Notamacropus eugenii: one gene and its partner. The protein of the gene in region 2 interacts with the protein of the main gene of each other region in a pairwise test. Links are inferred from orthologs where the notes say so. Each region holds a gene or a part of one and is shown on either strand. Other genes may lie near its edges.

Region 1 (7,027 bases), about 22 Mb from region 2:
TCGCAAACAGGCTTCCTCCCTCACCCACCTCCCCAAGAAAGAGATTTTTATTTTCCATTGTTTTCCTGCGGGATGCAATTACTTCAGCTATTCTGTCAAGTTGAAAAATAATCATTTTTGTTTACTGCATAGCAACCCCTAATTAGGAACCTTGTGTATATGTAAAGGTGTCACAGCAAACCGACGTGGAAGCCTCACTAAACGGTCTCAAACGAACTCCAAATGGGGAGGATAACGGAAGTAGCAAAGACACAAGATCGGTGGTGGAGAATGGAGCACAAAAATCCCTGCACCTACACCTTCTAAGTCCCCTCCCCCAAATCTAAAACAAACCTGCCTTAGAACTCCCCAAGAAACGTTGGGTATCAAGAACAAGGAACAATAAAATGTGTATATTCAGAAAGAGGGTGAGACTTTTATGGAGATTATAAGATTTTCTTTCACTTAAAAATAATATCAATAAAAGAAAACATTTCTATCAATAGTCAAAATTCCAGTTAGTCTAATTAAAGACTGACCCCTTGAGTAGAAGGAGATTTGGGGTGGCTGCAAGGTTTGTTTTAAATCTGCCTTGTAGGTAGATTTAAATATAACATACCTTATTCAGCAAACAAATAATGTAAGTGCCATGGAGTTAGCCCATGTCAAGAGATCAAACATCAGGGAGGGTGGGGGCAGAGAGGAAAGAGCTGAGAGATAGAAAGCTGACATTAAGCTTAATTGACACAGGTCTTTTTGATGGCTCTGCCCTGGTTACATCTGTGCCATTCACATCAGCCTGGAAAGCCACCCACTCCTCTTCTCTCATCTTGAGCCCCCCACCCCATGGGAGTATATGTGAATGTATGTGTCCATGGGAGAGAGACAGAAGGCTAGAGATAGAGAAACCCCCACTACCTCCAATTCAGCACCAAAACCATGAACAGCAGACACTTGATTTTCCACCCAGAGCAAAAGACAAGGTCCCCTCCCCTCCATCTTCTAGGCAAGCCAGAAATAAATCCCTGCCACAGGTGCAGCTGTGAGAAGGGGAGGAGAGAGAAGAGTGGAGGATGGGGTTGGGGAGGGAGGGGATAGGGAAAAACACCCCACCAGTAGGAAATAACATTCACAATATTGCCAATAGTGATGATGCTCTGATCAATATGGCGGACATTGTCATTCACACAACTACAGCCCCCACCATCATCCTTTCTCCTCACCCCTCCCTAAAAACATCTCTCCTGGGAGATGGGGTGGAGGGAAGAGAAACACCTAAGGTGGGAAGAGAGATGGAGGGGGTGTCAAAGTGTTATGTGTTTGTGGACAAGAATTACAAACGGGGCCTAAAGGAGAGCTGGAAGAAAGGGAAAAAAATTAAAATCCCAATACAATAGGGACTTACTTCATTTGCTTCACAATGGTGCTTTTGCCTGATTCTCCAGCCCCTGTAGGGACAGACAAAAAAAAAAAAAGGAAAAAAGCTAGTCAGTGTCAGGCTAGAAGAACTGGGAGATTACACTGGGAGGAGGAAGGGAGCAGCTGGACTGAAGGATGCAGGGGATCAGCTTTTTTGGCAGAAGATTCGTGTGTGTGCAATGGCTTGGTTATCTTGTTGCAAATCTAAGAAGGGAAAGGTCTCTCTGGACTCAGGACAAGTCTTCCTGAACACAGAATAAGGGAGAAGGGTGAAGAAAGGGGTGAAATACAGAGGTGGCGGTGGGGGCGTTGTTTGGAATAGGGTGCAGCCTGGCTGTTCTGGGGGTCTGGCGGAGAGGGGTGGGGGTGAGGAAGTGGCCAAGGCTCTCTTACCCAGCAAGAGTAATTTCACGTCTTTGGCGGCGCTGATGCCATCCTCTTTGAGGTTTTTCTCAATCGCTTTGCTCCTCTCCAAGGCGGCTCTCTCCTCTGCGCTCAATGTACATCCCATCGTGACACCCAAAACAGCCCGCACGCCTCGGCTGGCACGGTTCCCCTGCTCGGCTTGACCCCCCACCCCACCCCCCCAGAAATATTTATTTCTGTCCTTTAAAAAAAATCGCTAATTTTCTTTCCTTCTTTCTTGTATTTTTTTTCTTTTAAAAAGAAATCAAGTTTCCCAAACACAATAAAAATGCAGCCCCTCCCCCCAAAAATTCGCAAGGTGGATTTCAGGCTACTGCTCCCTTTTCCGGTCACCTGCAGGAGGAGGCTGGAATCGGGGCTGGGGTCGGGGCTGGGGTGGTGAGCTCTAGAGACAGGGTTGCGGGTCTCTCCCAGCTGCTGGCGAGCAACGCATCCGAAAAGAGGCAACCACCGCCGGGGCTCCGGAGCAGCGGCGGCGGCGGGGGAAGCAGCGGCGGCGGCAGCAGCAGCGGCGGCAGCGCGAGGCTGCGGACTCCGAGGAGTATTACAAAAAATTAAAAATAAAAATAAAAATAAAGGGCAGAGGCGCTCGATGGAGCCAGGAGCCGGAGGAGGGTGGGGATGGGGATGGGGATGGGGGGGCAGCCCGGGTGGATCCTTCGGTAGAGAGGATTATTAGGACGGTGATTAGTATTGCATCCCCTCCCCTTCTCTTTCTTCTTTTTTTTCCTTTTCCCTCTTCTTTGGGGGGCTTTGCAAGCGGTGGGGAAGGGGGGAAGGGGGGGAAAGGTTTCTAGCGGGCGGTGGCGGCGGCGACAGCGCTGGCTCCCAGAGATCGCATCGTTCAGTGGATCCTAATGGAGAGAGAGAGAGAGCGAGAGGAGAGAGAAGAGAGGAGAGGGAAAAAAAAAGAAGGGGGAAAGAGAGCCTGGGAGGGAGGGGGGGATGAGAGGGAGGGGGGAGGGAAGGAAAAGAGCGGAGTGCGCGAGTGCGCCAGGGGTTCTAGCCCACACCGCACAGGCTCGCCGGCCTCAATGACGTCAGCAGGGACGCGCGCCTGCTCGCCCTGGGACTCGAGAGCGGGCGGCTTCGCCGGGCCCTGGGGAGGGGGCGCGAGCGAGCGAGAAAGCGCGCGCGCGTGTGCGCGCGAGGACTCAGGAGAGCTCTCCTCGCCATCCCCATCCCCGACGTTGTCGGGAGAAGACGGAGGGCGGAGCCTGGGGTGCAGGCGGGCGCGCGCGCGCGGCCTCGGCTCCCCCGCCCCGCCCTTCCCTCTCCTCGTTCTCAATGGGAGCGCTGCAGCGCAGAGGCAGTGTAGCAAGGTGTAGGGAGGGGGTCGGGAGGATGGAGGGGGCAGGGGGAGGCTGGCGAGGCGTGCGCGCCTCCTCCCTCCTCTCACCTCCTCTGCCCCCTCGGCTCCTCTGCATTCTCCTTCGCTTCCTCCGCTCCTTGTCCGCAGTCGATGTGCTAGCGGAGGCCCAGCCACATCCCCCAAATGGAGGCCCTTTTTAGGGCCCAAACGACTTTCTTTCGCGGGGTAGTAGCTGAAAGTTTTCCATTATTTTCTGGTCAGGACGTGGCTTTAGTCGAAGGCTCCGGGCCGTCTGAAGGAAGCCCAAGAGCCACGAGGACCTCGGGGCCATCGCGTCCAGTCCCTTGTTTTGTGGATGAGAAAACCAAGGCCCGGAGGGACCTCCGGGACCAAGATCCTTATTTGACAGATGAGAACACTGAGTCCCGGTGCCACCCAGTCCCAACCCCTTGTTTTATCGTTAAAGAAACAGGTCCAGAGGGACCCGAGAGACCATTTAGTCCAAATCCCTTTCCCTCCTTATTTTACAGGTGAGGAAACTGAGGCACAGAGAGATGAAGCGGTTTAGGATCACAGAGCTGGAATTCAAACCTAAGCCCTCTGATTTACAGTTCATACAGCACTGCTTGCTGGAAGGAACCTCTGATCATCTAATTAAGCCTTTAGAAGGAAAGTTAGGTCCAGAGTGGGTAAGTAAGGCTTGAATTGTCAGAAGGAGAAGGGATCTTGGATCATAGATTTCAGCTCATTTCTTACTGATGGGAAAACTGAGGTCTAGAAAGAAGAGACTTGCTGGAGTTCTGTGGCAGAGCAGACTCTGGAACCCAGGTTCTCCTGGCTCCCAGTCCAGACTTCTTTCCATTACAAGTTGCTAAGAAGGTAAAGACATTCTTCCGCATAAGACATTGAGAACATCAACAAACATTTATTAATGCTAATATATATATATATATATATATATATATATATATATTACACTTGGAATAGTACAAGATTTGAATAATACAGAATTCCTGCCCTCAAGGAATTTCTAGTCTAACTTAATGCTACATACCCAGAAAATATTTTAATGACTTTAAAAATGACCCCTTTTGATTTAACCATTTGGTTTGGGTGGAGTGGATTTAATTTAGAAAAATTCAGGGAACTTAAGTCTTCCCCCCAAAAGGAGGTTTTTTGATGTAGATTCTTAGTGAAGAAAAAAGCTACTCTCCTTGTAATGGCTTCCTCCTTTAATCAACTCTTTCTTCCTTTCATTTTTCTCACCTGATAGAGATTGAATAATAGGCCAATCCATCAGAATAGTTAATTGAGCCAATGTTGTACAAACGTGAATATTCTCCAAAATAACTGGGCTTGTTTTCTGAAGAAGCTCATTCTACATGTAAAACTGCTTTTAATAATTAGTTCAAAGAGATAGCCTCTCCAGAAGAGACAAATTTCTCTTGGAGAACTAAACCATCAGGAAAGGTTTCAGGGGGAGTATAAATTAGTGGAAACCTTGCCTAGAACCTTTGGGCATCATCATGGTTCTAAAAACAAATCCATTGGCTTCATTGCAATAATAAAAGCAGATACTCCTGTTTTGGAAATATAAACACTGATAACCAAAATAAAGGTCTGCACCCAGAAGAAAATACTTGTGTTTGGGACTTGAAGAATTCTAGAATATTGGCTTAGATATTGTGGAAGATTTATGAAAGGACATGGACAAGAATCACATAGCGTGAGAAGTCATGAATGGATTGTATTGGCAGAGGGAGGGGTTCCTAAATCTATTTGATCTCAGATACATTGGACCATTGAAGTAGATAGATAGATATAGATCTACTGTCTACATCAAAGCAAATATTTCCTAGCACAGGCATATCTTATTTATGAAATGGCTCACATCCTCAAATGCTGTATAACATGTATGTTATTCAAGTTGTATGTAAGTGTATTGCATTAATGGGGAGGTAAGGCTATTCAATAAAGAATTCTATGGTAAATCCTTTTGTAAAGTGAAGATTTAGACCTTTATTCATCATGTTTGCTTAAAGTGTGAGTACACATGTATAGTTCTGGTCTTCAGAAAAAACCACTAGTCCTCATAGATTATAAATTAGAATTCAATTACACTTCTCTTTAAGAGAGTTTGCTGCCCTCTTCAAAGGATACTAAGGTGGTGGTGCATATATACTAAGCTGGAACCTTTTTTTTAGTACATCTTATGAGAAGAAACTAACTAACCCGTATGGAGATGCATTTTAAGAATCATGGGATCATAGATAGTGCTCAAAAGGACCTCGGAGAATAAGGACTAAAAAATAGGATTCCATTATTCCATTGTGGGAAATGGGAACAGTTTATATTTGAATTAAAGATCTGATTTGCCTCCTGTCACTTATTCATCAACATTATTTCTTGGGAAAGACGTTGGACTGAGAATCAGAAGAGACAGATTCTACTCCAGACTATTCACCAGTTATGGACTTGGAGAAGTTCTTTCCTTCTTTGGGCTTCATTTTGCTTATTTTTAAAATGAAGAGGTTGGACTAGATTGGCCTTTCCCATTCTAAAGGTCTATGATTTTTGTTGTTATTGTTTGAAGTTATAGTGTAAGCCTACGAGAACATCTTGTTGTTCTTAGTCCTTCATACTCTGACGAGAACTAATGATACCATGATATTGGGGTCAAGGTACAGTGTGTTCAGCTATGGCTGATTAGTCCAATATGAGCTTGGAAGGCTCTGCCATAGGTTGGGTACAAATAATCCATTTGAACATTTGGTAGGAAGATGTCTCTAGATTCGTGCATCTTACATTTTCCTTTGTGCTACTTCATAGAACACAGCATCTTCTTTGATTCAGGCATGCCATGCTGGGTAGTTCTATGCCAGAATCTCCCACGTCTCATTATGAATACTGAAGTTCTTCAGAGGCACCTTGAGAGTGTCCTTGTACCACTTCTTCTGACCTTGTTGTACCGACTTCCTAGTTGTATGCCTGTGAAGCCTAGACATTTGAATTGTTTTAGGAAGAGTCTGAAGATTATCAGGCAGGATAAAGTAGTGAACACTGAGGTCTTCTGTCAAGGTGTATTCTGTCAAGGTATTCAAACTGTGCTACAGAGAGTGGAGTTCTGATAGGCTGACCATGTAGTCCAAATGCCAAACCCACACCTACCTAAAAGACTATTTTTTGGAGAACTCAAGGCAAGAGCTCTTGAGAACATCCAATTTTCATGAAAACCCCAAAATATCCCCAGCTTCCATGATCCTTCATTCCTCATCCTAAAGCTGGTAGAATAGAAACTTGTGTTTTGAGACTTGATTTGGACTTTTTTTAGGGGATGTTTTCATATGAATAAATATGTTTGATTGACATATTTTCTTTTTGTACGGTCATCCTACTATCTTAATTTAAAGTACTTGGTCCTTATAAAATACTATACCCATGGAACACTTTATAAAATAACATGCTGCATATATTTTGTATAATATATAATATTTGTAAAATAACCCCAGAGGAGCTCACAGCCCAGAAATGGGGTACAGGCATACCTTGTTATATTGTAGTTTGCAGATATTGCCTTTTTTTTTTTTTTGTTACAAATTGAAGGTTTGTGGCATCCTTGAATCAACCAAGTTAATTGGTTCCATTCTTCCAACAGCCTGTTATCACATCCTGTCACTGTCACATTTTGGTAATTCTTGTAATATTTCAGACTTTTTCGTTATTATATTTGTGATCTCTCTCTCTCCTTCGCTCTCTCCCTCTCCCCCACCCCAACCTTCCTAATCCCTGAGACACAACAATATTGAAGAATATTACATAAACTTAGTTGACAAAGTAGTCGCATGGTTTGAGAGGATTGACTCCAATGTTGAAGAAAGTTCTACTGTGGGC
Region 2 (7,333 bases):
CGAGGGTAGGAGTCCCTATGCATGAGGGTGTAGATCTGGAGCTGGGCATCATCAAATGTATTGGATGATGGCTCTTGCATCTTTTTGTTGATGACCTCTCGTACCCTGGAGTCCAGGCTCACCTGAGTATGAGGATCATAGGTGAGCATGCATTCCTGGTACCCTGAGGCTTACCAGTCTTGGGGGTTGGGGCTTACCTTCCCCAGAGGCCACAACACTGGTGGCCCCCTCTCCTTCCCTTCCCTCCCTGGGGTTGGACAGGATCATCCCTTCTAGGGATTCAACCTCACTGGCCTTTCTGTATTTTCCCCCTGCCACCCTCCTGCTGACTCCACACTGGCAAAATGGGGAGATTAATTTTGGACTAGTCAGACCAATGCTTGTCTCCCAGGGAACAGGCAACATTGACGAAGCATCTACCAGATAATGACACAATCCATCCCATCACCCTGGTCCCTCTTTGGGGTAAATACAATGCCAAGCATTAGCGGTGATCTTGGCCCCAAAAGGGTTAACCCTGTCCTGGAGTGGAGGATGGGCTTGGTGACTGTGGGAATGAGATAGAAGAATGAGGGCAGGAGCCTGAGCTGGGGAGGAGAGGGGGACACTGAAGTTACTGAGGTTCTCTGGGGGCCCTAGGCCGCACCTCTTTGGGAGACAGGATGGAAATATAGTCCTCGTAAATAAGCCGAGCCTTCTCATCGATGACTTGCTTGTTGCCTTCTCCCTTGAGCTCCTCACAGGCCAGCCAGAAGAGCATGTTCTCTTCACTGTATTCTGTACGAAGGAACTCCCGGAACACATTGCGGCCAGCAGGATTCTTCATTAGCTTGTCAAAAGATTTTGCCCAGCTCTGGACCTCCTCTTGGCTAGGCTTGACACTGCAAATGTGTAAGTCCACATGGAGGAGATAGACATTTGTGAGGGTATCATCTGACCTTTATTCTCCCATCACCAGCTTTCTCCACTCCCCTCGTTCTCCAAAGCTATTTTGCTTGGAAAATTCTGAAATTCCCTCAGAGCCAAAGTTAAGCTTCCTGACTGCTGAAACTTGCTAATCCTACTGTGAAGTTCCCCAGGGGAGAGAGCTTCCTTCTCCATGATTGTGGGCAAGTAATGGGAGGGAATTACCAAGTTTCACAGTTGGGGATGGTCTCCAGTCTGGTCTCTCTAGAGGTCTTCCAAGCCCGCTGCCGATCTTCATTCCTAATGGTGAGATTGAAAGGTCATACCAGCACCCAGCACACTGACATGGTCACACCCCCCCACCCCCATACCCTTCTCACACAGGAGCACATGTCCTGATATAAGCATGTGGATTCGGACACATGCTTACAGATAGAGGAGCACTAGTGCATAGTTATACATAGACACATTCAAGACATGTTACACATACATACATTCACACTTTTGAGACCCCAACCTAGGCTCATACATCCTCACCTTTTCATATCTTTTATAAGTAAATCTCCAAGCAGGAAGGGGGAAGTTCTGGAACCCAAGACTGAGGAACAACACTTCCATAAGATGTCCCTAGAATTTGGGGTTCCAAGGGAGGAGAAAGAGCATGCCTTTCTGCCTCTGCCACCAGTAGGTTTTGATTGCTTCATCTGGCCTCAGCATGGCTAACCCTTTCTTCCTTAGCCTTCTCTTTCCCCAGGAATAAGACCAGGCCTCAGACACTGAGTGAGACTTTCATTTTCTCTAAGAAGACTTCAACTTATCTAGTCCAGTGATCTTTTCTTTCTTTAGTATTTTGAAGTAGTTATATAACATGGAGTTATAGAATGTCAGACCTGGAAGGGGTTTAGGAGATCTTATAAGTGTAAACTCTCATCTTAGAGATAGATAAAAAAAGATTAACCAAGGAAAGAAGATCACTTGCCTAAGATCACACAGCTAGTAAAGACTAGACCATAGGATGTAGCACTTGACTGTGTCTTACTCTTTCCTTTCAATCTGCAAGATCCGTCTTCATTGACTGTCCCCTAATGATGGTGACAGTTGCCATTCCTGCATCTGTTTCCTCAAGACTGGCAAGTGCCCAAGGACGGGACCCCAATCTGCTCATCCTGTTTTCTCAGAATTATCAGTTCACCAACGGTGAGGATAGAGTCTAACTCCCTTCATGGTGGCAAGAGGGATGAGATGGCTCCAGAAAAGGCTGGATGGCTGCCACTTACAGACTCTTAAGGTCAAATGCTACTGAAGTGTGTTTTAACTACCGCATTAGATTATCTGCTTTCCTGCTCTACTATCAGTCAAGTGACCTGAAGGGTAGGTGCACTGGGGTCAAATCTCAAGATTTTAGTTGAGGTTGTCAGTCTTTGGTTCAAGTTTTAGAGGTTCTACCCAAAGGAAGAGGGATGGCTACCTGTGATTGTAATGACTCACAACCAATAAAGCAGCCACCTCGTAGGTGTTGGAGGGTACCTGCCTAGGAGGTGCTGGTGTCAGGATGGCAGAACACCATTCTAGATATTCATTTGTTAAGGCCACCACACACACACACACACACACACACACACACACACACACACACACACACACACGCAGATGTGCAAACATGTTTATGTACATAAACACTTACCATGAACAGCTGCAGCAGCAGCACCAGCAGAAGCAGCAGGCATTGGGCCGGGAAGGAGCCAGAGGGGCTGGGTCATTTCGGGACATAGATGGGGGCCTGTCTGCCTCCTCAGGCCCTGTATGCTGAAAAACAAAAGTAAGGAGGCCTGGGGCCCTGCCCCAGTGTATGGTTCCCCCCAACCCCAGGGTTGATCCTTCCCAGACTGGGCAGCTCATCTTTCCCACTTTCTTCTTATTCTCTGCATTCCAAAGGTATGTTGTAACCATTTCCCTGAAAGGGCAAATTGAGGTCAAGGTGTTGTTCTCTCACCTGCTTCCCAGCCTCATCAGCTGTCGGCATGAATGGGCTGTATTTGTCCCTAGTGCTCCTTCCACTTTAGGCCCCAATGCCCACACTCTTTGCTTACACGTTCTGGGAAAAATAGAGAAATAGGCTTAGTCCTGAACCTCATTGCTGAACCTTCTTTACTCCTCTTAGAAATAAGGACCTTTGCCTCTACTTCAAGCACAGAATTTCCCCCTTTCAGCTTCTGTTCTTTTTCCGTTCGGGAAAAATGGACATGAGAGGAGAGCTTGGGCTAGATTTGCAGAGAGGGCCACTGCTTCTCCTTTATTAGAGTAAACTCAATCCTAGGCTGGGTTTCCCAATACCCAGCCAAGAATGTGATCAACCTGGCTTCCCAGAGATAAGGAGGAGGCACTTTGGGCTCTGCTGTTTTGGTTATCCCATCATTCCTGCCTTCATTGGTCTGAATAATTCAGAGTGGACTGTACTTGACTCAGGATTGGTTCTGTGGGCGAAGGAAGAGACCACAAAATCCTTTCCCTTCTCCTTCCCCACTCATGACTGTTCTTTAGAAGTGACTTCTGGTTACTCAGCTCAGGTTCCTGACACATCCCTGAGCCTTGAATAACAAGGTGAGGTCCCCAATGTCCTCTCAGTGCTGGTTCTCCCATTTTCCTTTCTCCAGAAGCTAAGATAGGGTGAGTGAAAAGGCAAGATACAAACAGAAAGTAACAATAGAAAGTATGATTAGTAGTAAAAAGAGAGAAGAGAAAGTAATAGATGAGAAGTAGCTGGAAGTTAGAATGCCTACATCACAGTGAGTATTGTGTGTATCAGGAGATAACATATGTGAAACACTTTGGCTATCCATGTCAATTATTATTTTTCAGAAGCACTCCTCACACAACTGAGGGAAATCACTGCAATTGAGGGGGTGTTTTGATTAGAATCTGTTAATTGCAAATCAGAGGCACCTGACTAGCACTAGGTATCAGAAAAAGCTGAAATGCCCCAGAAAAAGGTGGGAAACATCTAAAAAAAAAATCTAGGAAAAAAATTTTGCTTGAAATTCCTTCCTACAATTCCCCTTCCCCCTCAACCCCCTCAAGCCTGAGGCTGTCAGGAAGAGGAAGCAGCAAAAGCCCACACTGGAACAAGGCATCTCAACTTCAGCAGGTAAAGAGAACAAAGGGAGTGTTGTGGATAAAGTGTGAGCTAGTCTCATTATAACAGAAGGTGAGAAGGCTGGAGCAATGTCTGTCTGTCTACTCTTCAGTTTATCACAAAGAATTAAAGGATTGAGAGAGAGATGGGGAGAGAGAGAGAGAGACAGAGAGACAGAGAGATACTTCTGAAGGGTAACACAGTGTGTGAACCTGGCTCTTATGACCTTTCCTGAAGCTGTGCAGACTTGATCACTATCCATTTTTGGTGATTTGTGTAGAGATGAATGATATTGCTAGAAGGACCCTCTAAAACACCACTTGGGATTATGGGGTCCTAAGCAATAGTTAGGACAGAGGTCATACTTTCACCAAGTATGCAGATCAAAGGTAAGAATGATGGCCAGGAATGGATAATATCTAAAGAGGACTGGTAAACAACATATTTTCTTGCAGGTCTGTTCAGGAGGGCTTTACATTCAAACTAGAAAGGGAGCGGGGAAAATGGTTCATATTATTTACCAGGGCAGATAATAATAATATATAACAATCTAGGTGCTTTACAAATATTATCTCATTTGATCCTTTCAGTAACCCTGGCTGGGTGGGTGGGGAAGATAGGTGTTATTATCCTACGTTACAGTTGAGGAAATTGAAGTAAAAATGGTAAGTGACTTGGCTAGGGTCACATAGCTAGTAGGTATCTAAGGCTGGATTTGAACTTGGCTCTTCCTGACTTCAGGCCCAGTACATTATCCACTGCACTACCTTGCTGCCCTAGACAGCATTTGACCTATAGGTATAGTGCAGGATTTAAGGACTAGTCATTTGACAACGTCAAATAAAAGTGACAGCAATAAAACCCACATAAAAATAGGTAAAATAAACATAATGAACTAGAGATGAATGAGAGAGGTATTAGTAAAAGCCTTTCTTTTCTTTTTGGCTGACTTGCTCTGTAGTTTGGTGGTTTGTGGCTCAATGAATAGAATATGGCTATGAAAAGTCATATCTTATTCAAGAGGATCAGACTAGGCAGAGATGAAGGGTCAGTAACTTGCTACTTCAAAGATGTGGAATCCTATGTGAGCATGCATGTGTCTGAGGAGAGGAAGCCTGGTGAAGAACATCTGGGAGCTAATCAAAGGAGGAAGAAGCCAGTGACACAGTCAATACTGCACTACAGGCTACTAGGGCAGCTGGATGGTGCAGATGATGAGCTCCTGACAGAGCACCTAAAGACACGGAGGCAGAATAGAGCTCTGATGGAGGATTTCAATTATTTAGACAATTCATTCAAAAGGGGTTAAGAACTGATTAAGCTCTTCTGTTTGCAGAGTACTATGTGAGGTACTGGAAGAGGTGGTGGTGGTGGTGGTAGTGGGAGTGATAGGTGATTGACAAAGCTTAGAGAAGACAGTGTTCCTGCTCTCAAGAAACTTAAATGTAGGAGGGCAACATAACACAAACATACATAATAGTACATGATAGGTGCATTGGAGAGTTGCAAAGCAGTGTTATATGAGATTTGAGGCAAAAGCATATTTTTTTGAGGCATTAGGGAAAAGCTTCATGGAGGAGGTGGCATTTGAATGGAGTTTTAAAAGATGAGGAAGGAGAGAGGAGGCCAGAGGGCATTCCATAGGTAGGGTAGGTCAGCCCACTAGTGGAGACACAGGAGGAAGGGTTAGAGAAGTAGGAGAAGCAGGAGGGGGAGGCATCTTTGAAGCCAAGGCAGTAATCAACAGTGATGAAATCTGCAAATGGAGATTTCATCTCCTTATTTCTCACCCGGCTGGACTATTTTGGTTCTTCTCTGACTGACATCCCCCCTCCCCGCCCCGGTCAGCTTCCTTCTCCTTCCCCCCACCCACTTTTTAGCTTCCATTTTATATGTAGTTTTCTCCAATTGGCCTGTAAGCTCTTTGAGAGCAGAGTCTTTTTTCATATTTGCATCCCCAGCACTTTGCAAAGTACCTGGCAAATAGTAGATGCTTAATAAATGGACAAAGGACTAGTAGAATGAAAAGAGACCATTGGTATTGGTGATTCTAAGGTCATTGGTAACATTGGAGAGAATATCTTTTGTTGAGTGTGTGTGTGTGTGTGTGTGTGTGTGTGTGTGTGTAAGACAAGTTGTTGAGCAGAGAATGTGTAGTAAGAAAATAGAAGCATCAGGTTTTTTAAAATTTTTTTTGGTTTGTTTTTTTTTTTGAAGAAATTTAGCAGTAAGGGGAGGAGATAGAGGAGCTGGTAGTAGGGTAGAAGGGTCAATGGAAGGCTTTTTAAGGACTGGGGAGACCTGAATATGTTTGGAGGCAAATGGAAAAGGGCCATTAGAAAGGGGAAGACTGAAGATACAAGAATGAGGGGGTCTGACTAAGAAAGCAAGATAAACAAGAATATTGCCTTCTTAAAGCCAAGAGGGATATGGAATGGGTGGTGATGCTGAGAAGTTTTAAGGAATGGAGGAGAATGACTGAGGGAGTTCATGTCAGGCCTCAGTCTTCTCAGTGATGCAGGAAGCTAGGGTTGTGTGTTCTGTGTCTAGGAAGAAGGATAGAATTTGGGGGAAAGGGAAAGGAGAGAAGAAAAGGTTTGCACCAGACATTATGGGGAATTAGATAAAGAACTGGTAAAATTAGAGTAGGGTTTTTGAACAGTAGCCAGGGCCCAGATGAGTTTATATACTATAAATTTGTGATGGGAGAACTCAGTTGAATTTGGGAATTTTCTTAAGTAATACTCAGAGCTGTGTTGGAGAAATCACTGAATCTCAGACATGGAAGGGACCTCAGAAGTCATCCAGTTCAGTTGATACCAGAAGGGATGTTTCCCAAGTTTCCTTGGGAAAACCCAAAACAACATCCTTGACAAATAGTTCCTCTTATGGGTTCAATGATAATTTCCCACAGAGACTACCCCCAAATCTATATAGCCACCCTTAATTTCCTGTGTGCTATCTTGCATCACCCACTTGTCTGCTGGCTGTCTTTGCCTGGATAGCTCATAGGAACCTCAAATTCACCATGTCCAAAATCGAGCTCATTATCCTCTCCTAAATCCACGCCTCTTTCAAACTTCCTAATCTCTGTCATACTCTAGTCATCCAAGTTTATTCTTCTCTTTTTTCCTACTCCCTCCCCCCTCTACCCTCATCCAGTCAGCAGGTACTATCTCCACAACATCTTTCACATTTGTCTCTTCATTTCCCATTTGTTACCCTTGTCTGGACTATTTGAAATAGCTTCCTAACTGGTTTTCCTGCTTCCAGTTTCTTTCTCTCTCCAATTCA

Evidence for each region.
Region 1: the proteins of RGS19 (region 2) and GNAO1 interact in a two-hybrid assay, tested with the Homo sapiens proteins (2 studies listed by BioGRID). The link is inferred for Notamacropus eugenii from reciprocal best matches to the Homo sapiens genes RGS19 and GNAO1.

What each region holds. Positions count from the first base shown.
Region 1 is NC_092872.1:473,622,575-473,629,601, reverse strand, and holds the start of GNAO1 (guanine nucleotide-binding protein G(o) subunit alpha), read right to left. Parts: upstream 3,006-7,027; 5' UTR 1,910-3,005; coding exon 1,792-1,909; intron 1,428-1,791; coding exon 1,385-1,427; intron 1-1,384. UniProt on the Homo sapiens protein: Guanine nucleotide-binding proteins (G proteins) function as transducers downstream of G protein-coupled receptors (GPCRs) in numerous signaling cascades.
Region 2 is NC_092872.1:496,030,307-496,037,639, reverse strand, and holds the start of RGS19 (regulator of G-protein signaling 19), read right to left. Parts: upstream 3,002-7,333; 5' UTR 2,930-3,001; coding exon of another isoform or gene 2,900-2,929; 5' UTR 2,857-2,899; coding exon 2,591-2,856; intron 1,207-2,590; coding exon 1,132-1,206; intron 882-1,131; coding exon 647-881; intron 123-646; coding exon 1-122. UniProt on the Homo sapiens protein: Inhibits signal transduction by increasing the GTPase activity of G protein alpha subunits thereby driving them into their inactive GDP-bound form. Binds to G-alpha subfamily 1 members, with the order G(i)a3 > G(i)a1 > G(o)a >> G(z)a/G(i)a2.